7 linked regions of the Oryctolagus cuniculus genome follow. The main gene of each other region encodes a partner of the protein of the gene in region 4 in a complex. Links are inferred from orthologs where the notes say so. Each region holds a gene or a part of one and is shown on either strand. Other genes may lie near its edges. The genes, in order: PRPF3, BUD13, CWC27, SNRNP200, CWC22, ARMC7 and SNW1.

Region 1 (3,500 bases), on a different chromosome or scaffold from region 4:
TTTTTTCTTCAGTGGTTATATATGTAATATTTATGTTTTAAGATTTATTATTTATTTGAAAGGCAGAGTTACAGAGAGGCAGAGGCAGAGAGAGTGGTCTTTCATCTGCTGCTTCACTCCCCAGATGGCCACAGCGGCCAGTGCTGGTGCCAATCCAAAGCCAGGAGCCATGAGTTTCTTCTGGGTCTCCCTCTTGGGTGCAGGGGACCAAGGACTTGGGCCATCTTCTGCTTTCGCAGGCCATAGCAGAGAGCTGGATTGGAAGTGGAGCAGCCAGGTCTCTAACTAGTGTCCATATGGGGTGCCAGCAATGCAGGCGATGGCTTTTACCCACTGTGCCACAGCACCGCCCCAGTAGTCATATGTTTATCTTCATTTATTTCAGTAATCCTTTTATCCTCACTCAAAAAATGCGTTTGGATGACAAATATTTTTTCTACCTTTGTGTTAATTTAATGTTTTATTTTATTCTTTTGAATATGTCTTCTGTTTTTAAATGTGTTTGTTTATAAGACCTAATTCTTTTTTATAAAAATGGTACATTATTACAAAGTAGTGAATGCTTGTAAAGATTTTTTTTTAAATTCTAACTTTACAGAACACTTACTGAAAAATGTCCTTTTTTTATTTTCTAATCCCGTAAGTCCACTCTGAGTTAATTACTATTTACAGTTTTTCATGTATCCTTTTAGAAAGCTTTTATGCATTCATGGTGACTACATTATAAGCATCTAGAGAACAAAGAATGTGTAGGTCTTTACACTGTCAAGAACAGTGCACTGGAATGAGTACTGGTGCAGTGATTAAGATCCTGCTTGGGACACTCATCCCATATCTGAGTGCTTGGGTTCAAGCGCCAGTTCTACTTCTGATTCCAGTTTCCTGCTAATGTGCACCCTGGGAAATAGCAGATAATGGCCCAAGTACTTGGGTTCCTGTTACCCATATGGGAGATCCAGTTTGAGTCCTGAGCTCCTGGCTTTGGCCTAGCCAAGCTTTGGCTGTCACAGGCATTTGGGCAGTAAACCAGCAGATGGAAGATCTGTTTGTTTCTGTGACTCTCTTTCTCTCATGTCATTCAAAATAAAATGAAAATAAACAAAAATTTTCTAAAAACCAAAGAATAACAAACTTATAAATATTTTTGGATAGCAGTAAATAACTTCCTCATTGTTAGAGTAAATTTTGATCAGCTGTTACTTGTAAAATGTATAGTGCTAGACTGTGAAGAAATACAACATAGTGGAAATATTTGCAGACTCGTCAGTTCTACCTTCTAAGTATTCATGTATTTGTTTACTCCAGAGACTTTTGTTTTTTAGAGAGAAGTCTGTTTTGGATCCATTCATTTATTTGCCATTCCATTCAGGCAACTACCTGATGCTAAAATGGAAGACATAACTAAGCTTTCCCTTCTCCAGAGTTCGAAATTTGAGCAACCCAGCCAAGAAGTTCAAGATTGAGGCCAATGCTGGGCAGCTGTACCTGACAGGGGTGGTGGTACTCCACAAGGATGTCAACGTGGTAGTAGTGGAAGGGGGTGAGTCTGAAAAAATTGAGGGAGACTATTCCCAGACAGCCATAGGCCTACAGTGATTAGCATTGTGGGGAAAAGGAAGAATAAGATAGTATCACAGTGCATACTTGGGTGTAATATACTGAGCCTCTGTTGATGTGTTTATTGGAGTAGAAGGCCCCGAGATGTGGTTCCCGGGATTGCTTCAGCTACATTGACCTCTTGGAGTATTAGATGAGCTCAGAGTTTCTTTCTATCCATCATCTTCCACAACTCTGCAAAATTCTCCTTCTCTGTTTCTAGGCCCCAAGGCCCAGAAGAAATTTAAGCGTCTTATGCTGCATCGGATAAAGTGGGATGAACAGACATCTAACACGAAGGGAGATGGTGAATGGGGGCAAAAGGGGTTTAAGTGGGAGAGCCTGGGAAGTGGGGATGGTACACAGATCTGTTTATATTACTTCCTTCCCTGTGACACTCTAACACTAGATAGTGTGCAAAATTTTAGAAAGACCCATTCAGACTCGGGGACTACTGAATAGTGATTGAGTATTTGTTACATGATCATATGCATGAGTGTTAAAGTTCTTCTGCCTATGCTTTTTTTTTTTTTTTATCTTTTATTTAATGAATATAAATTTCCAAAGTACGACTCATGGGTTACAATAGCTTCCCCCCCCCATACCGTCCCTCCCACCCACAACCCTCCCCTTTCCCACTCCCTCTCCCCTTCCATTCACATCAAGATTCATTTTCGATTATCTTAATATACAGAAGATCAGCTTAGTATACCTTAAGTAAGGATTTCAACAGTTTGCTCCCACACAGAAACATAAAGTGAAAAATAATAGATGATTTTTTTTTTAAATGATGATGAAATCAGATCAGACCTATTGTCATGTTTAATCCCAGTGAGAGTCAAGTTGGGAATTGATAATTTTTTTTTTTTTTTTTTTTTTTTACAGAAGATCACTTTAGTGTACATTAAGTAAAGATTTCAATCGTTTGCACCCCCATAGAAACACAAAGTGAAATATACTGTTTGAGTACTCGTTATAGCATTAAGCCTCAATGTACAGCACATTAAGGACAGAGGTCCTACATGAGGAGTAAGTGCACAGTGACTCCTGTTGTTGACTTTACAAATTGACACTCCTGTTTATGGCATCAGTAATCTCCCTATGCACCAGTCATGAGTTTCCAAGGCTATGGAAGCCCCTTGAGTTCTCCGACTCTTATCTTGTTTAGACACGGTCATAGTCAAAGTGGAGGTTCTCTCCTCCCTTCAGAGAAAGGCACCTCCCTCTTTGAAGACCTGTTCTTTCCACTGGGATCTCACTCACAGAGATCTTTTTGCCAGAGTGTCTTGGCTTTCCATGCCTGAAATACTCTCATGGGCTTTTCAGCCAGATCCGAGTGCCTTTAGGGCTGATTCTGAGGCCAGAGTGCTATTTAGGACATCCGCCATTCTATGAGTCTGCTGAGTATCTCACTTCCCATGTTGGATCACTCTCCCCTTTATTTATTCTATCGGTTAGTGTTAGCAGGTACTAGACTTGTTTATGTGCTCCCTTTGACTCTTAGTCCTTTCATTATGATCAATTGTGAACTGAAATTGATCACTTGGAATAGTGAGATGGCATTGGCACATGCCACCTTGATGGGATTGAACTGGAATCCCCTGGTATGTTTCCAACTCTACCAATTGGGGCAAGTCAGCCCGAGCATGCCCCAAATTATACATCTCTTCCTGCCTATGCTTTAAGGTTTCTTTAACAGCTGGTTTTCCTAACTGTCCTAGGTCTGAGTACTAGTTACACACATGAGTGTATTTGGTATGTGAAAATTCAACAGGCCATGCATTTGAAGGTTTATTATACTGTTTTTTTTGTTTTGTTTTGTTTTGTTTTGTTTAAGATTTATTTATTTGAAAGAGTTACACAGAGAGAGGAGGAGAGGCCTTCCATCCACTAGCTCACTCCCC
Region 2 (4,267 bases), on a different chromosome or scaffold from region 4:
CATCTTCTGCTGCTTTCCCAGGCCACAGCAGAGAGCTGGATCAGAAGTGGAGCAGCCAGGACTCTAACTGGCACCCCCCATATGGGATGCTGGCACTGCAGGAGATTGACCTAACTCAATGATTTTTAATTTTGATTTCTCTCAAGTAAGATCATAAGATAAGGTCTGAGTAGATAACAGTGGAAACTATATTTTGTTATACTTGTTTAAAAAAAAAGATTTATTTGAAAGTCAGAGAGAGATAGAGAGAGAGAGAGAGAGAGAGAGAACTTCCAGCTGCTGGGTCCCTCCCTATATGGCCACAATGGCTAGGGCTGGGCAGGCTGAAGGCCGGAGCCAGCAGCTTCTTCCAGGTCACCCATATGAGTGCAGGTGCCCAAACACCTGGGCCATCTTTCACTGCCTTCCCAGGCACATTTGCCAGGAGCTGGACCAGAAGTCGAGCAGTGGGTAGCAAGGGCATAAGCACTCCTGGGCTGCCTTTCCTAGACAAGCAGCAGGGAGCTGGATCGGAAGTGGAGCAGCTGGGTCTCAAACAAATCCCCATATGGGGTGCCAGCATTAAAGGTGGCTTTACCCTCTATGCCCCAACACTGGGCCTGTTTTGCTTTTCTAAAGCTGAGAATAATTATAGCTTTTGTATTCATGATTAAACTACCCAGGTTAAATAAAATTTCAGTTATCTTTGCTGTTAACTGAAGTTGTATCCTTTCTCTGTTGGATCTGAGTTTGAGCAACTTCGATCTACAATAAGTCCTTTTTTTTTTTTTTAGACTTTTTAAACTTTTTATTATTTATTTCAAATAGTTACAGAGAGAACGGTAGAGACAGAGAGAGAGTTCTTCTATTCGCTGGTGCAAGGGCCAGAGCTGCACCGATCCAAAGCCAGGAGCTTCTTCCGGGTCTCCCACATTTGTACATGGGGCCCAAGGACTTGGGCCATCTTCTACTGCTTTCCCAGGCCATAGCAGAGAGCTGGATTGGAAGAGGAGCAGCCGGGACTAGAACTGGTGCCCATATGGGATGCTCGTGCTTCAGGCCAGGACTTTAACCCGCTGTATCATGATGCGGGCCCCTACAATAAATCTTTAATTTATCCTTTTTTGTTTTTCAAGTAAATTTTGTTTATTCATAAACATAACTTAGTTCACAAAGGTTTTTTTTTTTTTTTTTTTTTTTGGACAGACAGAGTGGATAGTGAGAGAGAGAGAGAGAGAGAGAGAGAGAAAGGTCTTCCTTTTGCCGTTGGTTCACCCTCCAATGGCCGCCACGGCTGGTGCACTGCAACCGGCATACCGCGCTGATCTGAAGGCAGGAGCCAGGTGCTTATCCTGATCTCCCATGGGATGCAGGGCCCAAGCACTTGGGCCATCCTCCACTGCCTTCCCGGGCCATAGCAGAGAGTTGGCTTGGAAGAGGGGCAACCGGGAAAGAATCCGGCGCCCCGACTGGGACTAGAACCCGGTGTGCTGGTGCTGCTACTTGGAGGATTAGCCTAGTGAGCCGTGGCGCCGGCCGTTCACAAAGTTTTTAAAAATTTTGTCTGCAGACTTTTAACATAAAGGCCTAAGAGTGACAAGCAGGTGTCGGGGGAATATATTAAAAACAAAAGTATCTTTGGTGATTAAAAAAAACTTGGAAACCTATTATTCTAATTATTTTACAGGGTTTTTCTAGTTGCAAAATATTACAAGTCAATGAAAAAGAGAATATTTGTAGCTTTGTTTCACTAAGTGTTGAATAGGGTCATCTGGGCAAAGACCACAAAGATTGTGAGCAGGGACAGAAAACCTTTGGCTGACTAGAGGAGTGAGAGAAGGGAAGACTGCCAGTGTTAGCAAGGATTGATCAGAAGTGTCTGTTCATATGTGGGGAGAAAAATGGGAAAGAGGCAATTCTTGACAGAGTGATATAAGCAAAGATATGAAAACATGATAGTGCAAGTCATTTTTTAGAGACAGTAAATGCATCAGTTTAGTATTAAAAGATGATGAGAAAGTAGTTTGAGGCTAATGTATGAAGGCCTTTAAAGATAAAACTGGGTGCTGGTGTTGTGGCCTATGGGTTAAGCTACTGCCTGCAGCGCCAGAATCCCATATGAGTGCTGGTTTGAGTATTGGCTGCTCCACTTCCAATCCAGCTGCCTGCTAATGCACCTGGGAAAGCAGTGGAGGATGGCCCAAGTGTCTGGGCCCCTGCACCCATGTGGGAGATCTGGAAGAAGCTCCTGGCTCCTGGCTTCAGATCCGCCCAGCTCTGGCCATTGCGGCCATTTAGGGAGTGAACCATCGGATGGAAGACACTTTCTCTTTGTGTGTGTTTGTGTGTGTCTAACCCTACCTTTCAAATAAATAAAATCTTTAAAAAAACATAAAAACTTAACGCCTTGGGAAAAGTTAACAGCTGCAAGTGTGATGGTGCCATGAAGATTCCAGTTCTGTGAAATGACTATTGACTTGCTTGAGGATGTCCTGTATTTTCAAGTATAAAGAGTGATGTCTGGTGCTTGAAGGTATTAACTTTTTTTAAGGTATTTAAGCGATAATCAGAGAGAGATTGTAGTGATAGACAACCAAGCGGGAACCTCATTTTATTAAAGTTTTTAAACAATACCTTACAAAATTTTGTGTGTGAATGAATTCTCAGTAAATCCCAAACAGCTTCTCTCAGTGCTAAAAACTGGCTGATAAGTGCCGTTGAATTCTTTGTAAACCTAACAAAACTTAACAGAATTTCTCATTCTGGGAAAGAAATGATTTTCTCTATGTAATTTCTTTAGAAAACTGCTTGAGAATAGTTCATTATTATGTGTAACAGTGGTCAGAAATATTTCTCTCCATGGTACAAAACAATGACTCAACCAAAACCTAGGAATGTAATCAAAATGCACCCATACTATTAGGTACAAGTTCAGACAGTCCCTGTTTGCCCTCCTTTTTATTACTCCTTCTTACCCCATTGTGGTTTAGCCTGACTAATCTATTTGCAACACATCAACATTCTGCAGAAGTTTTGTAGTTTCTATTTGAAGGGAACAAACTGGAGGGCTGTGGAAATTTCAGATTTCATCTCAGATAGTATTTGTTAGTAGTGTGTGTGTGTGTTTGTGTATTCTTAAACAACAATCCTTTTTTAAAAAGTTAGTGTCACTTGAGAGGGAGGAGAGACAGCCAGAGAGAGGGAGGGAGAGTGAGAAAGGGTGCTCCCACCTGCTAGTTCACTCCCCAAATGTCCCCATCAGCCAGGACTAGGGTGGTTTGAAGTTGGGAGCTGGGAAGTCAGTCCAGTTCTCCCACATGAATGACAGGGATCCAATCACTTGAGTCATCACCAGGAAGTACATTATTAGGAAGCTGTAGTCAGGAGCCAGGGCCAGGAGCACCTGGGAGGTTTTATTTATTTATTTATTTATTTGAGTGGCAAAGTTATAGACAGAGAGAGGGAGAGACAGAGAGGTCAGTCTTCCATCCACTGGTTCACTCCCGAAATGGCTGCAACAGCTGGAGCTGGGCCAATCTGAAGGCAAGAGCCAGGGGCTTCTTCTGGGTCTCCCATGCAGGTGTTGGGACCAAGAACTCTGGATATCTTCCACTGCCTTCCCTGGCCACCAACAGAGAGGAGCAGCTGGGACACAAACCAGTGCTGCAAGTGGAAGCTTAATCCACTAAGCCACAGCGACAGCCCCCCTGTAATGTCATTTAAATGAAGCGAGGAATGAAGGCTTCCTCTAGAGGAACAGCCTTTAAATGCAGAAAAGGGAGCAGACGTTTAGCCCAGTTAAAATGCCGGTTAAAGACATCTCTGCCTGATATCTGAGTACCTGGGTTTAGCACCTGGCTTTGGCTTCTGGCTCCAGCTTTCTGCTAATGTAGACCTGTGTGGCAATGATCATAGCTCCAGTAATTGGGTCCTTGCTATATGTGGGAGACCCAGATTGAGTCCCGAGTTCCTGGCTTTGGCATGGCCCAATCCTGGCCATTTTGGGCAGTTGGGGAGTGAACGCCACTGGATAAAAGCTCGCTCTCTCGTTCTCTCTCTGCCTCTCAAGTTTAAAAAAAATCAAAGAAGAAATTAAAGAGGACAGTGGCCTTGGGGACAGGGAATGGAGTGTGCTTGGCATATAATTTAATATGTCAGCAGAGAAGAGTTCCACAGTAAGCTGGAACAGCCCTGCTGATGTAATGGGTATAGTCTGAGGGAACGGAAAAAAGATCGTTTAGCAGAAGGAAAAAAAAAAAAGATTGTAGTATCCTTAGAAGGCCTTGAA
Region 3 (3,500 bases), on a different chromosome or scaffold from region 4:
TCGTATTCAGTCAAACTCGAGTTCTTGCTCCCCACCAAATTCTTTGCTTCACTGAGATGCCATGCTTTCTGCCATATCCAAGTTAACTTCTTTCTTCTCTATCAAGACTTCCTAATGATTCTAGAGTCCAGATACTCATACTACAGGAGATCATATATAACCTATCCTGTATGTTTATGACTTCTAAATTGTATATTTATATATAAATGTAAATAATTTCATTAATTTAGCAAACAGATTTGTAGTCTAATTGGACTCACATATATATTATGTTAATTATTTACCTTGTTTAGTAAAAGTTTCTTGTGGAGAGTGCATTGATGGTGGTAGACCTACAATCTGAATAATTTTGATATATTGTGTGTTTGTTTGTTGTTTGCATATTAATGAATTAATTCTCCACGGAGTGAAGAAAAGAAGTAGGAAATAAGAAAAGCAGGAAACTGGATCAGCAACAAAGTAGCCAGGGCTCAAACTGGCACTCCCATAAGAGGTTCAGACACCCCACACAGTGGCTGAACCTACTGCACCATAATGCCTGCCTCTCTGATATTTCTAACAATTTCTTTTATAACTATTTTCTTAAATTCAGGATTCAATAAAATATCACAGATTTCATTTGCTTGATATGTCCCTAGTTGTTGTTGTTGTTTTAAATATTTATTTATTTATTTGAGAGGCAGAGTAACAGAGAGGGAGAGGCAGAGAGAGAGAGAAGTCTTCCATCTGCTCATTCACTCCCCAGTTGGCTACAGCTGCTGGAGCTGGGCTCATCCCAAGCCAGGAGCCAGGAGCTTCTTCCAGGTCTCCCACATGGGTGCAGGGGCCCAAGGACTTGGGCCGTCTTCTACTGCTTTCCCAGGCCATAGCAGAGAGCTGGATTGGAAGTGGAGCAGTCGGGACTTGAACTGGTGCCCATATGGGATACCGACACTGCAGACGGCAGCTTTACCTGCTATGGCACAGTGCCAGCCCTGATATTTTTTAAGAAATAGGAAAAATAAAGTATTGGTTTGGGAGCTGAAGAAAACCAATCTTGGATCAAGTTGTATATTAGCTCTGACAATGGTAGATGGGCTTGATTTTAGATATTGCTAAATTATTTTTGGTTTTTTTTTTTCAGCTTATTATGACAACACCATTTTTCATAGAGTTGTACCTGGTTTTATAGTTCAAGGAGGAGATCCTACTGGCACAGGGACTGGTGGAGAGTCTATCTATGGAGCCCCATTCAAGGCAAGTGAGCTTGGAATGCTTACTCAAAAACGATGTGTCCCTTAAGAAAAAAAATTCCAAAAAGAAATGTTAGTATGCAAAATCAATGTCTGTCACATATTTAAGATTACACAGCATAAGAACAACACTTTTCCCATCAAGCATTCTTTGTAAGTTGTCTTAATGTAAGATTTTATACTAGAATTAATTCAGGGGGAACTCAAGGAGGTAGTGAAAAAGACATGGTTCAGAATAAAGATAGAGTATTTCCTGATGTCTGTCTGTATTGAATATCTGCAGCTCTGTAAATGAAAGCATTTTTTAAACACTGCATATGCTATTCTACTTTAAGTTTTATGTAAACAGTATCTGGAATCTGTAGTAGACTGCTCATCCTGCTATCACCAAATACCAGGCTGGATGGCTTCAACAGTAGGGTTTGTTTCTCATGGTTCTGAGGCTGAGAAGATCAAGCAGTGGTTCGCGGTCAGGTCTGTTTTTCTGGCTTGCAGATGACTGCCTTCTCTGACATCCTCACAGTGGAGAAGGGAAAGAGAAGTCTGGAATCCCTTATTTTTATAAGGACGCAAGCATTATTGGACTAGGGGCCCATCCTTATGACATTGTTTTAACCTTTATTACCTCCTCACGGACCAAAATATAAGTGACATTGTGGGCTAGGAGCTCAGTGTATGAATTTGGGGGTTACACAATTCAGCTCACAGAAGAATATATTCTAAATCATGCACAATAGATCTCGCGGCACAAAATGCACACCACAATTGAAAAATCACAACAGGAAAAGCAACATAAAAAGTGTTAGAAAAAGATACATTAGGAATAGGTCAGTGATTTCTTAACTACCAACAAATCTTAGAAGAACAATGAGGTAATGTCATAGTTAAGATAGAAAGAACTGTGTGTTCAAGTGAAAACTAAAATTTGTGTTCATTATTAACTGCTGGTACCTGTATCATGTTCTTTGAATGAATGAACATCAAAAGCTCTTAGAATTTAGAAGTTTTTGAAAACTTCATATTTCTGTTAATGGGGTAGAATGTCTGGAGTTTCCTTTCTTCTCTGAGTTACTGTGTGAGTCTTCAGAAAAATACTTTATGAATTGTTTGCTTTAATTTCCAGATGATAATGGCCTTAGGAAATAGGAAATGATTATGAAAAAATTTAGATGTCAAGTTAGCCTATTTATATTTACCAAAGTAAAATGACTCATAGTTTTAGAGCCTCTGTCTAGTAGGAAGCATTCCTTTATTCTAGTATTTGGTGTAACAGAATAGCTTTTTTTACAATTCCTTTCTGATTAATTTTTTGCTTTTTTATTTTCATATACTACAATTATTTTGTTAAATTTTTATGTTAGGTAATTTAAAATACAGTATATAGAGTAATGATTCATTGAATTCAGATCTCTTTGAGAATTAACTTATTAAGGAAAAATAACTTCATTTATGACAAGCAGTGATTACATTCATGGCTACATTATACATAATGCAAAATCAGGTCTGGATGGAAATTCTGTGTACTCAATCTTAGCCAAAAGGCCTAGAACCATTGGATATTCTGTAAACAAAGTGGCTTATGTATGTGTTAAGTAACCCTATCATGCAAGATAACCATCTTAGAAAGGCTTGCTCCTGCCCTTTCGGAAACTAGCAGATTGGACCAATGCCAGTTCAGAGAAGATTCAGCTTAGGGCTTCAGTGAAGTCACAGTGAAATCATTTAACATAATCAGAATAAATTCCTTTAATTAAAAAATGAGAAGAAAGCAATTGTTTTACGACATTTATAATGAGATGATGACTATTACCTGAAGACTCTGCAATGACTCAACATTGTTTTCTTGAAGAAAAAAAAGATTTTAAAAGCTTGGATGGTTTTGAGGGATAATAATAGGGAAGTGAATCTTAGAAATCTACTCCCAAATGAATACCCTTCCCCTGCATGTTAGTAGACAGCTTTCCACAAAATATGCTGATCTGTGGCTGAGTATGTCTAGAATATACTTATAGGTTAGTGATTTCTAGTTTAAGTGCATTAAAAGTATAAATATTAGACTTGATTACACTTAAAAGTCAGTTAAATTAAACTTATCATTTTTGTTAGTATTTTGAGATTTTGTTAGTATTTTGAGATCTTACTGGTCAGGTAAATAATCAATTGAATTTGAAATATCTTATAACTGAGAACATTCTCTAAATATTTTTTGTACCTCAGGATGAATTTCACTCTCGGTTGCGTTTTAATAGGAGAGGACTGGTTGCCATG
Region 4 (4,003 bases):
CCAATTTTTTTTTAATAGCATCAATCCATAGAGTTGATGTAAAAGGAGGAAAAAACCATGTAAAGTATCATTTCACTTCAACCAAACACTTCGTAAATACTAGTCACTTCCGCAAGTTGGTATGAGCCACACAGGGAAATCCAGAGACAAGGTTCTTCTGGTGTCCCCCAGCCGTCACCCCCTCCCTTCCCAAGCACAGGCACTCACTCTCTGGCGGCCTCACCTGGTCCCCAAGCGCAGCCTGGATGAAGCTGAGCAGCACCTCATACGTCTCCCGGGTCTCCTTGGTTTTGGGCTTGTAGATGATGCCCACCATCTCATCAATGCCCTCCGACAGCAGGGTATAACCCTTCATCTTGTTGATGTCATGCCGGTCCTCGTCACGCTTTCTTCGCCTAAGGGACACACAGTGTGACATTCCACAGGAGAACCTTGCCTCCCCAAGACAAGAAGAGAATCAAGCCCTCCCTCCTCAGTATCACCGTACACCTGCACCGCAACAAATGAGCCCCATTTCACCTTAATCATTTGCACAAGTATTTCTTTGTAGGACACAGTAACAGAAAGGAAGTGTTCACCCTCTCACTAAGTTCACTAAATGTTACAAGACAGGGTTATCATTAATTTAAAAACACGAGTAGGCATGCAGTACAGCACTCAGTAAGATGCCACTTGGACATCCACAGCCCATATTGGAACATCTGGCTTCAATTCTAACTCCACTTCCAGCTTCAGCTTCCTACTAATACACACATATCCTGGGAGGCAGCAGGAGACGGTTCAGGTGTGTAGGTCCTTGCCACCACACAGGAAACCTAGGTTGCCTTCCAGTCTCCTGGCCTCAACCTGGACCAGCTGCAGCTAACATGGGCATTTATGAAGTAAACGAGCAGATGTGAGTTCTTTAATCGGCCTGTCTCTATCTCTCAGATGAAATAAATTCAAAATACAAAGGGGCCAGTGCTGTGGCCTAGCAGTTATGCTGCCATCTGTAATGCCAGCATCTCCCATCAGAGCAGTGATTCAAGTCTCTGTTACTCGGCTTCCAATTCAGGTCCCTGATAATGTGCTGGTAAAGCAAGGGAAAGTGGCCCCAAGTACTTGTGTTCCTGCCACCCACATGAAGACCCAAATGGAATTCCAGGCTCCAGGTTTCAGCCTGGCCCAACCCCAGCCATTGCAACCACTCAGGGAATGAACCAGCACATGGAAAATCCCTTTCTCTCTATTTGTTACTCTGTTTTTCAAAAATAAATGTCTTAAAAAATTAAAAACCTACTGAGATGAGAAATACCAAAGGTCTTAAAGATACCCTCAAGAAAATTAAGATGTTTATGGACCAGAAACACAAAAAGGTACCAGTATTTTCCACTTGGGTGTACTTTATTTATTTTTTTAAGGTTTTATTTATTTACTGAGAGGTATAGTTACAGACATAGAGAGGGAGAGACAGACAGAAAGGTCTTCCAATTCGCTGGGCCACTCCCCAAATGGCCCCAGTGGCTGGAGCTATGCCTATCTGAAGCCAGGAGCCAGGAGCTTCTTCCGGGTCTCCTACTCGGGTACAGGGACTTGGACCATCTTCTACTGCTTTCCCAGGCCAAAGCAGAGGGCTGGACTGGAAGATGAGCAGCTGGGACTAGAACCAGCGCCCATAATGGGATGCTGGCAGAGCAGGTGGAGAATTAACCCACTACGCCACAGCGCCAGCCCTCAAAGTGTATTTGCTAAGGCCGTAGAATCTTCAAACTCTCATGTTCAGCTTTTACCTTCACCAATCTGTTTTAATGCCACTGCTGTCCAATCTTGCAACACGCACTTCAACAAAAACACTACTAATTGCTAAGGAAAAGACAGACTTCGGTTCTGAAGAAAAACAGGACTCCATCGGTACTTACTTGGCTCTTCTTTCCTCCTGCATCTGTGGTTTGGTCCGTTGTGCCTTATCTCCCATTCGGGTGCCCTCCAGCTTCCCAACCAGGGACAGCACCTCTCCGGTGGGTTCATCTCGGCGGGTTCGGTCAATGAGAGACCGGTCAGCTTGGAGCACAAGATTCGAGTTCTGAAAAGATCAGACCACTGCTGAAGCTCTGACATACGCGAGGCCAGTTCCTGCAGCACCCTGATCCCAGCTCAAGAGTCACAATGAGCGTTAATAACCACTAGCCGGAATATAAAGGTATATAATTTGAAAAGAAATAGCAACACATAACGCTAAGCACGAGCACAGGGCTGATAAGCCCTACGTGCCGTCTATCAGTTGAACAATGCTGGCTTCTAACCATAACAACCCTCATGCGGGAAGTACTGAGCGAGTGGAGAGGGACAGGTGAAGGGGCGGGTTGAACGCTGAAAGGCTTGGCAGCCCGGTCCCACAGAGCTCTCCGCCTTGTCCTGCCCGCCCCAGGCCCCGGTGCGATAATCCGTATCGTCGCATACCCAAACTTTCGCCCCGATCCGATTTCGCCTCCGATTTCGTGGCTTTCCTGCAGGCCTTGAGACTGAACCTCCCACTCGCAGCTTGCCGCCTCCCCTATACACTACACTGCCTCCCCCGAGTCCTCCCCTAAGCCCATACGCACCGCCTTGTACTCGTACTGCAGGCTTCGGGCGGTCACGTCCGCCATGGCGGCAGCCGCTCCTGGCTCTCAGAGATCCACTCCTCCTCACCGCACGCTGAAAACCGCGCTGCTCTCGGTTGAGGACTTCAACAACGCAGGAGAGACGCAACGGAGGGGAAGGAGACGGACTAATTTCCGCTTCCGGGTCGCGCGCCGGAAGTGCGGGGCGGGCCGGGTTTCTGGCAGGCGCGCGCCGCTTCCCGCTGCCTTCTGGGTGGAGCGGTTGGGACTTGTGCTTCCGGGTCTTGGCCCTTCAGAGCTAGGGGCGCCACAGTGCTTAGGGGTCGGGCCTCGGGTCCCGGCCAAGGCACCTTCCACCGTATCGGGATGCACGCCTCCTTTGCGCCTATCCTATGCGCAGCCTCTTTTATATTTATTTATTTGAAAGAGTTAGAAAAACAGAGCAGTCTGCCATCCGCTGGATAACCCCAGGTGGTCGCAATGGCCAGGGCTGGGTCAGGCTGAAGCCAGGAGCCAGGGGCTTCTTCCAGGTCTCCCACGTGGGTGGCAGGGACCCAAACATTAGGCCATCTGACAGTGCTTTTCCCAGGCCACTAGCAGGGAGCTGACTCGGAAGAGGAGCAGCCGGACAGGAACCAGCGCCGGTGTGGCAGGTGCGGCTTTACCCCCACCCCAGGCCTTTTTCTCCAGCTGCTTCCGCTGACTCTGGCAACAGCCCTGGGAAGGCCCCCGGCAAGGAGAGGCCAGTTAGCCTTCCATTTCTGGAAGAGGAAACTGAAGCGCTAGAAAGCAACAGAATCGTGTGTTTCTCTTCCGTATGGAACAACAGAGAAAGCTCCGTCCCCCACCCATCCCACTAACCCCCATGCCCTCGAGGCCCTGGTTCTTGCCCAGCGGAATGAGCAGGGCCAGATCTTTTTGTTCAGGCGTCACATTCCGTGGCAGGGCCGTCTCCACCTCACCGAGGAACTTGGGTGAATGTGGCAGCCCTCCTGGCGGGAGGAACTCCTTGAGGACAGTAACAGTTGCTTCCCAAAGCCCAGGACTGGTAGGCACCGCCCCCTCACCCACCCCTACCATGTCTCACAGGTGGAATGGCAGCTTACAGATGAATGCTTGCATGTTTGCTTCTGAAAAAATGACTGAATAGTAGGATGGGTATTGGCCGGCGCCGCGGCTCACTAGGCTAATCCTCCGCCTGCGGCGCCGGCACACCGGGTTCTAGTCCCGGTCGGGGCGCCGGATTCTGTTCCAGTTGCTCCTCTTCCAGGCCAGCTCTCTGCTGTGGCCCAGGAAGGCAGTGGAGGATGGCCCAAGTGCTTGGGCCCTGCACCCACATGGGAGACCAGGAGAAGCACCTGGCTCCTGGCTTCGGATCGGCGCAGCTCCGGCCGTTGCGGCCATTTAGGGAGTGAACCAAT
Region 5 (4,089 bases), on a different chromosome or scaffold from region 4:
CTTTAGCCAGCTATTCTTCAATTACAGGAGCTCTTGATGTGTCCCCAGGCCTAAGCAGCCCATAGTCCCTTTCTGGTGTCTGCTCACTGGGAAGTCTTGCTAGCCTGGCTACAGTAGCAAAGGTCTGCTTTAATGTACTGCTTCTTCTCCTGAAGTTCTCTTTTTAAAGAAAATGCTTTGAGAGTGTACTTTGTTGAAAGCCTCGAAATGTCTCTTTTCAATGTTCACTTGAGAAATGCTTGCAGTAGGAAACCAGCAGGCCTTATTGTCCCATTACCCTCCAATGGCAGAACTGTCAGACTTTAACAGAAAGGGAAATTCAACAAGGAAGCCCTCCAAAACATAGGTGGAATCATATATATATATATTACCAATAGCCCCTTTTTTCTTACTTAGAATAGCTCTAGGATAGTCATGACTAAGTTAGGGATAAACCAGGTAGAGCAAAATTCAGTCTACATACAAGATGGCAATAAATAGCAACTACCGTTCAAGTTAAGGCATAGTATAGGCACATAAAGGGTACTACAGACACATAAAGTGCCACTGTCTCCTTTGTTGAAGTGATGTCAAATACAAACCACTGTAGGTCATTTGGCAATGCAAAATTATGAGATAATCTCTAACAATTCAGCAAATGAGAAAACTAACAAAGAAAGGTGTTTTATAAAAGTAGTTAAGTAGTCTAGGAAGCATCAGAATTGCAAAAGTGAGTAAGCCAAACTACCCAAAGCAGGGAAGGATGTGGTGAAATAATAATGATGGGAAACTGGTTGGCCACGAATCAAATAATTTGGAACAAAGAGGGCAGGCAACCTGATTTGGGGAACCACAGCATATCTCTAAGGCATTAGCTTTTTTATGGTCTGGTAAAAAACATACAGATGGGTCCCATGCCCCAGTTTTTGATTCAACAATTATTACATGACTAACAAGTTCCAAGGAGATACCGGTGCTGCCGACTTGGAAAACCACATTTTAGGAACCACTAAGCCAGGGTAATAGAAAAAGCTTTTTGGCCTCTAAAGTACCAGTAAAAGAATCTCAGAACTCCAATGAGTTAGGAAAGATTCCACAAAAGTGACACGAGCACTTAAAAGTGGCAACATTCAGAAGCAAAGAACAAGCACTAAGGAACAGAGAAAACTCATTAACTCTATCATATATTAACAATGTTAAAACACCGGAGGCCAGCCCGGGAGCACACTGCCGGACATGCAATGCCTTCAGACTCAACCAGTGAGCCAGGCAGTTATTATTACAACTATTATTACCTTTAGACAAGGACTCTGAGACTAAAGATGTTAGTACACTTGCCCCAAGTGATAAATCTAATAATCACTGAAGCAAGACTGCAATCTCTGGCTTGCCAGTCCATCACCCAGCACCCACACAAGTCATTTCCTCCTCCTATAGACAACTGCCTGCAGCAACGCTTCCAAAACCGCACTTTTAACGCTAATCCTAAGTCTGCCCTTCCACAGGATAACTGATGTTAACTCCTGTGTTCCTAAATAAATCTAAATGCAGATAGGGAAGAGGGAGGCTAACTGATCTTTTTTAAGACCAACTTTGTTCGTTTATCTGCTATTTCTAGTCTGTTGATATCGCATAACACAAAGGAAACTCATCACATTTAAATCACCCAACTCCTACACCCAGAATAGCCTTTTCCCAAATTTCTCATTCTCACTCCCCTCAAAGCACGGAGGATTAAGTAAATACAGGTAAAGACGCTATTTCAGTTAGTCCAAGCAAAATTAACTATCATATCACCATTACATTGAAGTGTATTGTAGGACTCCAGAGCTCAGCAGAGAGTGACGAACCGGAGGACCAAGTTAAGGAGTTGTCAATCTTATTGGAAGTGGTTCAACTAACGGCAGGACGAAAGATGATAGATGAAGACAATGGAAAAGGAGGGGTTCCCAGGACTAAACATCTGTAAGTATCAGTAAATGGCAGGGCAAATACATGAAAAAGAAACCACTAGTGAAATTTTACAAAGAGAGTCACAGGGATAGTACTCCGCCGAGAGGCTTTAAAGTCAGTTAGCTATCTCTTAAATGAACTATAGTTCATTAATCCTATTCCCGAGTCCCTGGGACCCGGGCACTAGGTAGGGGCCTGGGCAAGCCCCCTAACTCGAGAGGTTCGAAGTGACCCGCGCCCAAAACACTGCACACGGCGGGAGGAAGAACCAGCTCGGATGCAGTCACCCAGCAACTGAGACACGGCCAAGGTACGGCGCAGGAACCTCATGAGCCTGAGGTCCGTCCGCGCAGGCGGAGAGCCAGCTCACGGCTGCCCACTCTCCACCTGACGGGGCGACTCGGCCCAACCCGCTCGCTTAGCCCAACCTCGCGGGCCCGCGCGTGGCGGGAGGACGGCAACGCGCTCCCGGGGCCGCCCACAGCCGGACCCGGCGGCATACTCCCCCCGCCCACAGACCTCCTCACTATCCCTCCCGGTCCAACAACCCGCGACCCCCCACTGCAGTTGCCTCCCCGGGACGACTCGACCGAGTTCGATAATTACCTAGAGCTCCACCGCGGCGCCATTACACCGGATGCACGTCACTTCCCCTTCCCGGGCACCGGCAAGAGGAGGAAGGCGGAGCGTGAAGTACGTAAAAACCGGACGCTCATTTGGGTTTGACGCGCTTTGCCTATTAGGTTATCTTAAACACCACATCACAACGCCAGATTGAAAGCAGTGCATCTAATCATACTGTCTCCTTACCAACACGGCAACGAAAAGCAAGTAGACCCGAACTACAAAGACCAGCATCCTCCCTCTCGTCAGACGGAAATGACTAACCGCAATTGTAGTTTTAGCGCGAGAAAGCCCCAGTGGACGATGGGAATTGTAGTTCTTGGATATAAGCATCTGCGACTGCCTCCAGGCTGCTCACAGAATACCTGAGAGTAATTAGGGTTTGATAAGATTAATTATAATCCAAAACTGTTTCTCTGCGGTTGGCAGAAAAGTAGTCCTCTGTGGTCACGTTTCCGTGAAAATATTAAAAAACAGAAATCCTCTCAGACATTTTGGTTTGACCAAGAGCATATTAAGCAAAATGTTACTAAATGATTAAGTGCCTACTAAGTTCCAAGAGAATATTAGCCCATTAATAGACTGAGAGAAGCTAATTCTGTGAAGACGATGATGTCTCTCTTTGGGCTAAGATACCAGGTGACAAGACACTGTCGAGATAAAGAGATTCCGCAGCTGAGTTAGAAACTGTCTTATACAGAGTTCAGAGGTAGGGCTTCAATCAAACAATTTCCTTGAACTTTCGTTTTTGCAATCACAAAACCCAGAAGTCCAAGTAATTGTTAACTGTTTGGGGAGTTCTCTTGCTTTTTTAAACCAGGACTGGTTTCTGCAAATACTTCATTACAATTTTAGGTTATTTGTGCTTCTAACTCTTTCCTAGTTGCAGAGATTAAAGGCATTAAAAAACAAAATGGAGCTGGGCTACTTATGCTTAAACGATGGATTTATTCATGAATCATTGACTTCGAGTAAGTTACTTCACATTCTGTGTCCATTTCCTGATTTGTAAGGAGTAAAAGCAGTACCCACCTATATTCTGTTTTATCAATGATGCAATGCTTGATATACAACTGCAATTGGGCTAATACTTGGTTGAAGTTGCTATAGTCTATAATAATTATCCTAATTCAGTTGATTTCTTTAGATCAGACCGTCAAAATTAATTGGAGCTATGTTGGCATTATCATAAAACCTTGACATTTTTCTGGATATCATTTAAAAAATTTTTTTTTCTATTCTGGGTATCATTAAACTCTACTATTCACATATGACACTGATTTTGATTGCTCTCTTGGCCAAGAGAGAAAGTTCAAAGACTTTTGCTTAGCCTTATCCACTGTTACAGTTTGGATGATAGTTTGTGTGTTCCCCAAAGGTCTGTAGGTTGAGGACTTGATCCTCAAAGTCTTATGTTAACCATTAACAGGTCAATGTTAATGGTTGAAGGATTAAGGGTTGAGGCTTAATCCAATTATGGTGTCTGGAAGGTGGGCTCACTAGGAAGTATTTAGATCATTGGGAGCTTGCCAT
Region 6 (4,186 bases), on a different chromosome or scaffold from region 4:
CCAGGCACTGGGCAGAGAGGGGCAGCAAGTTCTGCACAAAACCAAGGATTGGGAGTTCTCCAAGCAGGCCCTGAGGCCTTAGGAAGGGATAAGACCAGACACTGGGGGAGGCTGGGTTGCCCATCGGGCACCAAAACCTGCGGGTGTTTTCCTGGGAAAGCAGTTCCTGGCCAGAGAAGGGAGGAGCTCACCTCCGTGTGCCCTCAAGCCCCAGGCTCCTGGTCCCCAGGCCTTCGCTGCTCTGTCCAGCAACAGGCGGGAAGTCCCCTGGCTAAGACACACTTTCCCAGGCCATCCAGGATCCCCACAGAGTCAAAGGACAAAGGGCAGCTATGGTACCCAAGCACCAAGGCCAAGGTCAGAATGGCGCTGTGGCACAACTGGTTAAATCCACGGCCTATAGTGTCGGCATCCCATGTGGGTGCCGGTTCGTGTCCCAGCTCCTCCACTTCCAACCCAGCTCCCTGCTAATGTGCCTGGGAAAGCAGAGGAAGATGGCCCAAGTCCCTAGGCCCCTGCACCCACACGGGAGACCCAGAAGAAACTCCTGGCTCCTGGCTTCGGATCGGCACAGCTCCGGCCGTTGCGGCCATCTGGGGAGTGAACCAGCAGATGGAAGACCTCTCTCTCTCTCTGTCTCTACCTCTCTCTCTAACTCTGTCTTTCAAATAAATAAAATAAACCTTTAAAGAAGAAGAAGGTGTGCATAGGGCAGGGCTGCAGCCTGCGTCCACCGCAGCTGTACTTGGCCCAGGGATGCAGCCACATTCCTTGGCCCCAGGAGCTCACAGCTCCAAGCACCATGGGGATGTGGCAAGGCCTCCTTTCCTGGTGCTGTTCTCTCCTGAGAAGCTCCGAGGAGTCAGACCAAAGGGCTTCAGGATCCCGGGCCCAACAACGCAGAAAGCTGCAGCGGTCCACAGGGGCGAGCTGAGGCTCCTTCCAGGGCCCTCCGGTGCTGCCCGGGACAACCCAGCTGTCAGAGGCTTAGGGCAGGACCCCAGTCCTCGGGACTTCGGGTCAGAGGTGGAGGGCCCCAATGGGGTCAGAGCGGAGTCGGCCGGACTTGAAATCCTGAAGGGTCGCAGGGAGCCGACGCTGAGGCTCCAGGGGGACGTCTAGGGGAGAAGGCTGGGCTGCGACCGCCAGCGGGTGTGGGGAGTGTGCGTCTGCCTCGACAGCCCCCTATGTGGGCACCCCCAGATTCTGCGGCACTCCTGGGTCGCCCCGGCTCCTCGCCGCATACCCGACCGCGCACCTGTCTGCCGCGCGCGTCCCCGCGGGCCCGGAGCTCATTGCGCACGCGAGCCGAAGAGCTCCGTGACGGCCCCGCCCCTTCTCGCCTCGCCCCGCCCCGTCTCTCCCCGCCCCGCCCCTTCCGCCCTCCGGGGGCGGGACTAGCGCGGCTTCCGGCCGGGACTCTGACAGGATCCTGAGGGTCCCGCCTCCCACTTGCCGTTTCGAGCTGCGGATTCTCGCAGGACCTGAGCCCCCCGGCCGCTGCGGTGAGGGTCTCACGCGGCTGTCCAGGCTGCCTTCTGCCCTTGTCCCACCGGGCCCAGGAGCGCTCGGCCGCCCCGCCATGGCCCAGAAGCCCAAGGTGGACCCCCACGTCGGGCGGCTGGGATACCTGCAGGCGCTCGTCACGGAATTCCAGGAGACCGCGAGCAAAGGTGAGAGCCGCGGGTGGGCGCCGCCGCGAGCCGAGGGGAGAGCCGAGGGGAGGGCGCGGGTGGGCGCCGCGAGCCGAGGGGAGAGCCGCGGGTGGGCGCCGAGGGGAGAGCCGCGGGTGGGCGCCGCCGCGAGCCGAGGGGAGAGCCGAGGGGAGGCCGCGGGTGGGCGCCGCCGCGAGCCGAGGGGAGAGCTGAGGGGAGGGCCGCGAGCCGAGGGGAGGGCCGCGGGTGGGCGCCGAGGGGAGAGCCGAGGGGAGGCCGCGGGTGGGCGCCGAGAGCCGAGGGGAGGGCCGCGGGTGGGCGCCGAGAGCCGAGGGGAGGCCGCGGGTGGGCCGGCGCGAGCCGAGGGGAGGGTCGCGGGTGGGCGCCGGCGCGGGGGCCGAGGGGAGGGCCGCGGGTGGGCGCCGCGAGCCGAGGGGAGGCCGCGGGTGGGCCGGCGCGGGGCCGCCGCCCGGGACCGGCTCCAGGGTCGCTTTCCCGTTGCAGACGCCAAGGAGCAGGTCCTCGCCAACCTGGCCAACTTCGCCTATGACCCCAGCAACTTCCAGTACCTGCGGCAGCTTCAGGTCCCGGATTTGTTCCTGGACTCGCTGTCGGAGGAGAACGAGACCCTGGTGGAGTTCGCTATGGGTAAGGGGGGCCGGACCCGACACCTGCGGGGCTGCCGCGCGATGGGAGGGTTGCAAGGGAGTCGTCGGCAAAGCGGCCTTTAGGGGCCCCCCTTGTCGCCCCACAGGCCATCAGGTCACAGCTAATGTGCGGGAGTGCGGGGGTCCCACCCAGGCCCCACCCTCTGCCTAGAGATGGGATCGCAGACAGGGAATGGGAGGGAGCAGCTTGGAGGTGGATCTTTAATGCGACGATAATGTAGACTTTAAAGTCTTTGTCGTTTACTGAAAGGCAGAGAGAGAGAGATTGAGAGATTGCACCCACTGGTTCGCTCTGCAAATGGCCACAACTTCTCCCAGGTCTAGGCCAGGCCAGGCCAGGGCCAGGATCCGGGACCTTCATCCCTCAGGTCCCCACAGGGGCAACAAGGGCCCAGCACTGCCTTCCCGGCTGGATCAGAAGCAGAGCAGCTGGGACTTGAGGCAGGACTCCCGCCAGTTGGCCCACTGCGCCCTCATCCCTGTCCTCGTGCAGAAATGTTTGAAGTCCATACATAGGTTTTTTTGTGAGACTTTTTCATGAACTTGTAATTAATTAATTAATTTGAGAGGCAGAGAGACAGACAGAGCTTCCATCTGCTGTTTTACTCCTCAAATGACAGAAATAGTCAGGGCTGGTCCAGGCCAAAGCTGGGGGCCAGGAATTCTATCCAGGTCCCCCCCCATGAGTGTCACGGATCCGACTACTTGAACCCCTCATACAGTGCCTGCCCAGTGAATACAAGGATATTTCAGCAAGTTAATGGGAAGTGGAGTTAAAATATAAGGGTGTTTTTGGTGCAATTAAAAAAATTAAATTTTTTTCATAATGCACATATTCTATGAATTTTTAAAAATATTTCCCCCCACTCTACTGTACTCTTCTCTTCCTTCCTTCTTTCCTTTTTTTCTTTTCTTTTTTTTTAAGATTTATTTTATTTATTTGAAAGAGTTAGAGAGGTCTTCCATCCGCTGGCTCACTCCCCAAATGACCGCAGCAGCCAGAGCTGAGCTGATCCAAAGCCAGGAGTTTCTTCCAGGTCTCCCACATGGGTGCAGGGGCCCAAGGACCTGGGCCATCTTCTATTGCTTTCCCAGGCCACAGCAAGGAGTTGGATCAGAAGTGAAGCAGCCAGGACTTGAACTGGCGCCCATATGGGGTGCTGGAGCTGCAGGCCAGGGCTTTAACCTGCTGCACCACAGCGCCAGCCCCTTTTTTAAAAAAAAAAAAAATTTACTTATTTGGGGGACCAGTGCTGTGGCACAGTGGGTTAAAGCCCTGGCCTGAAGCGCCAGCATCCCATATGGGTGTTGATTCTAGTCCTGGCTGTTCCACTTCCAATCCAGCTCTCTGCTATGGCCTGGGAAAGCAGTAGAAAACGGCCCCCCTGCACCCACGTGGGAAACCCAGAAGAAGCTCCTGGCTTCAGATCGGTGCAGCTCCAGCCATTGCGGCCATCTGGGGAGTGAACCAGCAGACGGAAGACCTCTCTCTCTGTCTCTACCTCTCTGTGTAACTCTGTCTTTCAAATAAATAAAATAAATCTTAAAAAATAAGTTTATTTATTTGAGGCCAGCACTGTGGTGTAGTATGCTAAGTCTCTGCCTGCAGCGTCAGCATCTCTTACGGGCACCGGTTTGAGTCCTGGCTGCTCCTCTTCTGACCCAGCTCCCTGCTAATGCTCCTGGAAAGAAAGCAGCAGAGGAGCGCCCAAGTGCTTGGGCCCCTGCACCCATGTGGGAGACCCAGAAGAAGTTCCTGGCTCCTGGCTCCTGATTGGCCCAATTCCAGCTATTGCGGCCATTTGGGGAGTGAACCAGCAGATGGAAGATATCGCTCTCTCTCTCTCTCTCTCTCTGTAACTC
Region 7 (2,786 bases), on a different chromosome or scaffold from region 4:
TGTCCCTTTGCTGTGCAGAAGCTCTTTATTGTGATGAGATCCCATGAGTCGATTTTTCTGACCCAGAAACTCCTTTCCTTCCATGTCCTGAAGCATCTCCCTTTTTTTTATAGTAGTTTCAAAGTTCCTGGTCTTAACATGTAGTTCTTTGAGGTTTCCAATGTATAAGATCGTGTCTTCTGTAAACAGTGATGGTTTGATTTTCTCCTTTCCGATTTGGATGCCCTTTCTTTCTCTTGCCTCATTGCTGTGGTTAAGACTTCCAGTACCATGTTGAACAAAAATGGTTAAAGTGAGCATTCTTGTCTTATTCCACATCTTAGAAAACCTTTAGCTTTTCCCCTTTTGTTATGTTGTTGGTCAACATGGGATCTTTAAAAAATGAAGCTGTAGATTAACTTATGGGACAGGTTGTCAGAAAATTGATTTCTAGTTATCGTTAACTAGCTACTGGGACACTATAGGCCTGGAAACGTACTTTTCTGTTTGAATTCACCTAAGATTGATATTAACTCTGCATAAGTTGTGAGATCAAAGATCGAGTGCCTTTTCCTTCAAGGATCTTATAGCCTACTGAAGAAGATACACACAGAAAGACTGGCTTAGAATACAGAAGTGTAAGTTCCACTGGATGTAGAGGGGGAAGGGTTAATTACGACTTCAAAGTTTTAGGAAGATTTGAAGGCAATATCCTGGTAAGCTTGTATAAGTAACAATCATAAAGGTATTAGGTGCTTTTTGTATTCCTGGTATTGTTCTAAATCTTCTATCATCTCAAATAATACAGTATAAAGTCATACTGTGTTCTTTAGGTGAGGAAATTGAGAGGTTTAGCTAGTACTGATGAAATTAAGATTCAAGCTTGGATGTCTTGACTCCAAAGCTTTGTTCTTACCCACTATGCAATGGGAATTTCCAGAGCAAAGGGAGTTAGTGGTCAAAGTTCCACACAAGTAAATACTTTCACGACAACTGTTACAAGCTTAAGCTTAAAGCATTTAAAGTTGTGATGAAAACATCTCCATTGTTTAAGATTTCCGCTGAGGAAATACGAGGGATATAATACTTGTTACCGTAAATGGCATCAGAGAAATGTTTCATAGTTCCTGCATCTTCGTGTCTCTGAGTATACACAAATGAAAACGTCAAGTTTGCTCTTACAGTAGTAGCACCTTCCTGTGTTAATGATTTCTTCACATGTACCTGATCCAAGGCTGTGGGTGAGAATGTGATGGTGGTAGGAACAAAAGTATATGCACTTTATGACAGTTTTTTAATTTGTAGTTCAGCTTGCTCTCCAAGAGCACGGGTTTATATATTTAACATGATTGTAGTAAACAGATTCAGTTTCAGTAACGTGTCCATTTTCCCACAGGGTATGGACAGTGGATTTGCAGGTGGAGAAGATGAAATTTACAATGTTTATGATCAAGCCTGGAGAGGTGGTAAAGATATGGCCCAGAGTATTTACAGGCCCAGTAAAAATCTGGACAAGGACATGTATGGTGATGACCTAGAAGCCAGAATAAAGACCAACAGGTACAAAAGCAGACAGCTCCATTTCAACATTCACACCAGTGAAAACAAAGTAGTTCATAGTCCTTTCTCTTTTTCCCTAGGTTTGTTCCCGACAAGGAGTTTTCTGGTTCAGACCGCAGGCAGAGAGGCCGAGAAGGACCAGTTCAGTTCGAGGAAGATCCTTTTGGTTTGGACAAGTTTTTGGAAGAAGCCAAACAGCATGGTGGCTCCAAAAGACCTTCAGATAGCAGCCGCCCCAAGGAGCATGAACACGAAGGCAAGAAGAGGAGAAAGGAGTAGACGGCTGCGTCTCTTCAGAGAGACTGAACTGTTATCTGTAACCCTAGTGATGCAAGTCATGTGGGGAACACTTTGTAAATGGTCAGGATAAAACCAAATCGGTGTGCAGACCCCAGGGCTACTTTTTACTACAAGAGAAAGGGGATTGAAAATTCTACTTTGAATTAGATTTTTTTAAAGATTGAGTTCTGTTTGTGTGTCTCCCACCTGTCGGCACTTATAGAACATACTGCCCTACACACAAAATTAAGGCCACTTCCTTTTGTGTGATGCTAGTAGTTTGGGGTTCATATTTGTATAAGAATGACTGCTAAAGAATAAAGTTACCCCAACCACAGTGAGTTCACATACTGGAACTGTCCTGCCAAATGAATTTTGCCCCTATTGTGTTCATTTTATTTTGGAGTAGGGAAAGTAAGGTCTTGCTTAGAGCAACTATTTGTTTCAAATAAAAACATTTAGACAAAATTCTCAGTTACGTTTACTTTATTAAGTAGGCAGTAATTAAAACTCTCAAAAATCTTTCTCTTCATCAGATGTTTGATCCCCTTGCAAAACTTTTGGTCTTTGAGCTTGAACGTGCAGCTGAAAAAAATCAAGGCAGCATTGTAAGGAAAGGCAACGTCTGCAGAAACACTAAACGTGGCTACTTGAAAACCGCCATCTTAGGATTCCGCACCAGTAACTCCAGCAGCTGGTGATTCCTTTCTCTTTAGATTCCCTCGGCTTCAATTAAAAATCGTAAATCAGGCAGGCATTTGGTGCAGCAGCAAAAGTGCTGCTTGGGATGCCCAAATCCTGTATCGGAGTGCCTAAGTTCAAGTCCCAACATTGCTCCCAGTTCCAGCTTCCTAACACACACCCTGAGAGGAAGCAGGCAATAGCTCAAAGAGTGAGGGCCCTGAAAACCATGTGGGAGAGAAACCTGAGTTGAATTCCCTATTCTTGGATTTGGCCTGGCCCAGCCC

Evidence for each region.
Region 1: SNRNP200 (region 4) and PRPF3 share a complex: the UniProt entries of both Homo sapiens proteins name them as parts of the U4/U6-U5 tri-snRNP complex. The link is inferred for Oryctolagus cuniculus from reciprocal best matches to the Homo sapiens genes SNRNP200 and PRPF3.
Region 2: SNRNP200 (region 4) and BUD13 share a complex: the UniProt entries of both Homo sapiens proteins name them as parts of the minor spliceosome. The link is inferred for Oryctolagus cuniculus from reciprocal best matches to the Homo sapiens genes SNRNP200 and BUD13.
Region 3: SNRNP200 (region 4) and CWC27 share a complex: the UniProt entries of both Homo sapiens proteins name them as parts of the minor spliceosome. The link is inferred for Oryctolagus cuniculus from reciprocal best matches to the Homo sapiens genes SNRNP200 and CWC27.
Region 5: SNRNP200 (region 4) and CWC22 share a complex: the UniProt entries of both Homo sapiens proteins name them as parts of the minor spliceosome. The link is inferred for Oryctolagus cuniculus from reciprocal best matches to the Homo sapiens genes SNRNP200 and CWC22.
Region 6: SNRNP200 (region 4) and ARMC7 share a complex: the UniProt entries of both Homo sapiens proteins name them as parts of the minor spliceosome. The link is inferred for Oryctolagus cuniculus from reciprocal best matches to the Homo sapiens genes SNRNP200 and ARMC7.
Region 7: SNRNP200 (region 4) and SNW1 share a complex: the UniProt entries of both Homo sapiens proteins name them as parts of the minor spliceosome. The link is inferred for Oryctolagus cuniculus from reciprocal best matches to the Homo sapiens genes SNRNP200 and SNW1.

What each region holds. Positions count from the first base shown.
Region 1 is NC_091438.1:47,633,445-47,636,944, reverse strand, and holds part of PRPF3 (U4/U6 small nuclear ribonucleoprotein Prp3), read left to right. Parts: intron 1-1,421; coding exon 1,422-1,540; intron 1,541-1,819; coding exon 1,820-1,903; intron 1,904-3,500. UniProt on the Homo sapiens protein: Plays a role in pre-mRNA splicing as component of the U4/U6-U5 tri-snRNP complex that is involved in spliceosome assembly, and as component of the precatalytic spliceosome (spliceosome B complex).
Region 2 is NC_091432.1:108,946,649-108,950,915, reverse strand, and holds the start of BUD13 (BUD13 homolog), read left to right. Parts: upstream 1-1,467; 5' UTR 1,468-1,498; intron 1,499-4,267. UniProt on the Homo sapiens protein: Involved in pre-mRNA splicing as component of the activated spliceosome. As a component of the minor spliceosome, involved in the splicing of U12-type introns in pre-mRNAs.
Region 3 is NC_091445.1:85,773,957-85,777,456, forward strand, and holds part of CWC27 (spliceosome-associated protein CWC27 homolog), read left to right. Parts: intron 1-1,123; coding exon 1,124-1,236; intron 1,237-3,449; coding exon 3,450-3,500. UniProt on the Homo sapiens protein: As part of the spliceosome, plays a role in pre-mRNA splicing. Probable inactive PPIase with no peptidyl-prolyl cis-trans isomerase activity. As a component of the minor spliceosome, involved in the splicing of U12-type introns in pre-mRNAs.
Region 4 is NC_091433.1:111,275,318-111,279,320, reverse strand, and holds the start of SNRNP200 (U5 small nuclear ribonucleoprotein 200 kDa helicase), read right to left. Parts: upstream 2,801-4,003; 5' UTR 2,628-2,800; coding exon 2,583-2,627; intron 2,063-2,582; coding exon 1,899-2,062; intron 396-1,898; coding exon 224-395; intron 1-223. UniProt on the Homo sapiens protein: Catalyzes the ATP-dependent unwinding of U4/U6 RNA duplices, an essential step in the assembly of a catalytically active spliceosome. Plays a role in pre-mRNA splicing as a core component of precatalytic, catalytic and postcatalytic spliceosomal complexes.
Region 5 is NC_091434.1:61,056,119-61,060,207, reverse strand, and holds the start of CWC22 (pre-mRNA-splicing factor CWC22 homolog), read right to left. Parts: upstream 2,801-4,089; 5' UTR 2,539-2,800; exon of another isoform or gene 1-2,538. UniProt on the Homo sapiens protein: Required for pre-mRNA splicing as component of the spliceosome. As a component of the minor spliceosome, involved in the splicing of U12-type introns in pre-mRNAs. Promotes exon-junction complex (EJC) assembly.
Region 6 is NC_091448.1:5,404,931-5,409,116, reverse strand, and holds the start of ARMC7 (armadillo repeat-containing protein 7), read left to right. Parts: upstream 1-1,386; 5' UTR 1,387-1,582; coding exon 1,583-1,673; intron 1,674-2,159; coding exon 2,160-2,303; intron 2,304-3,667; coding exon of another isoform or gene 3,668-3,696; exon of another isoform or gene 3,697-4,186. UniProt on the Homo sapiens protein: As a component of the minor spliceosome, involved in the splicing of U12-type introns in pre-mRNAs.
Region 7 is NC_091451.1:23,412,519-23,415,304, reverse strand, and holds the end of SNW1 (SNW domain-containing protein 1), read left to right. Parts: intron 1-1,375; coding exon 1,376-1,539; intron 1,540-1,619; coding exon 1,620-1,818; 3' UTR 1,819-2,286; downstream 2,287-2,786. Other genes in the region: SLIRP (SRA stem-loop-interacting RNA-binding protein, mitochondrial), read right to left, coding at 2,332-2,403. UniProt on the Homo sapiens protein: Involved in pre-mRNA splicing as component of the spliceosome. As a component of the minor spliceosome, involved in the splicing of U12-type introns in pre-mRNAs.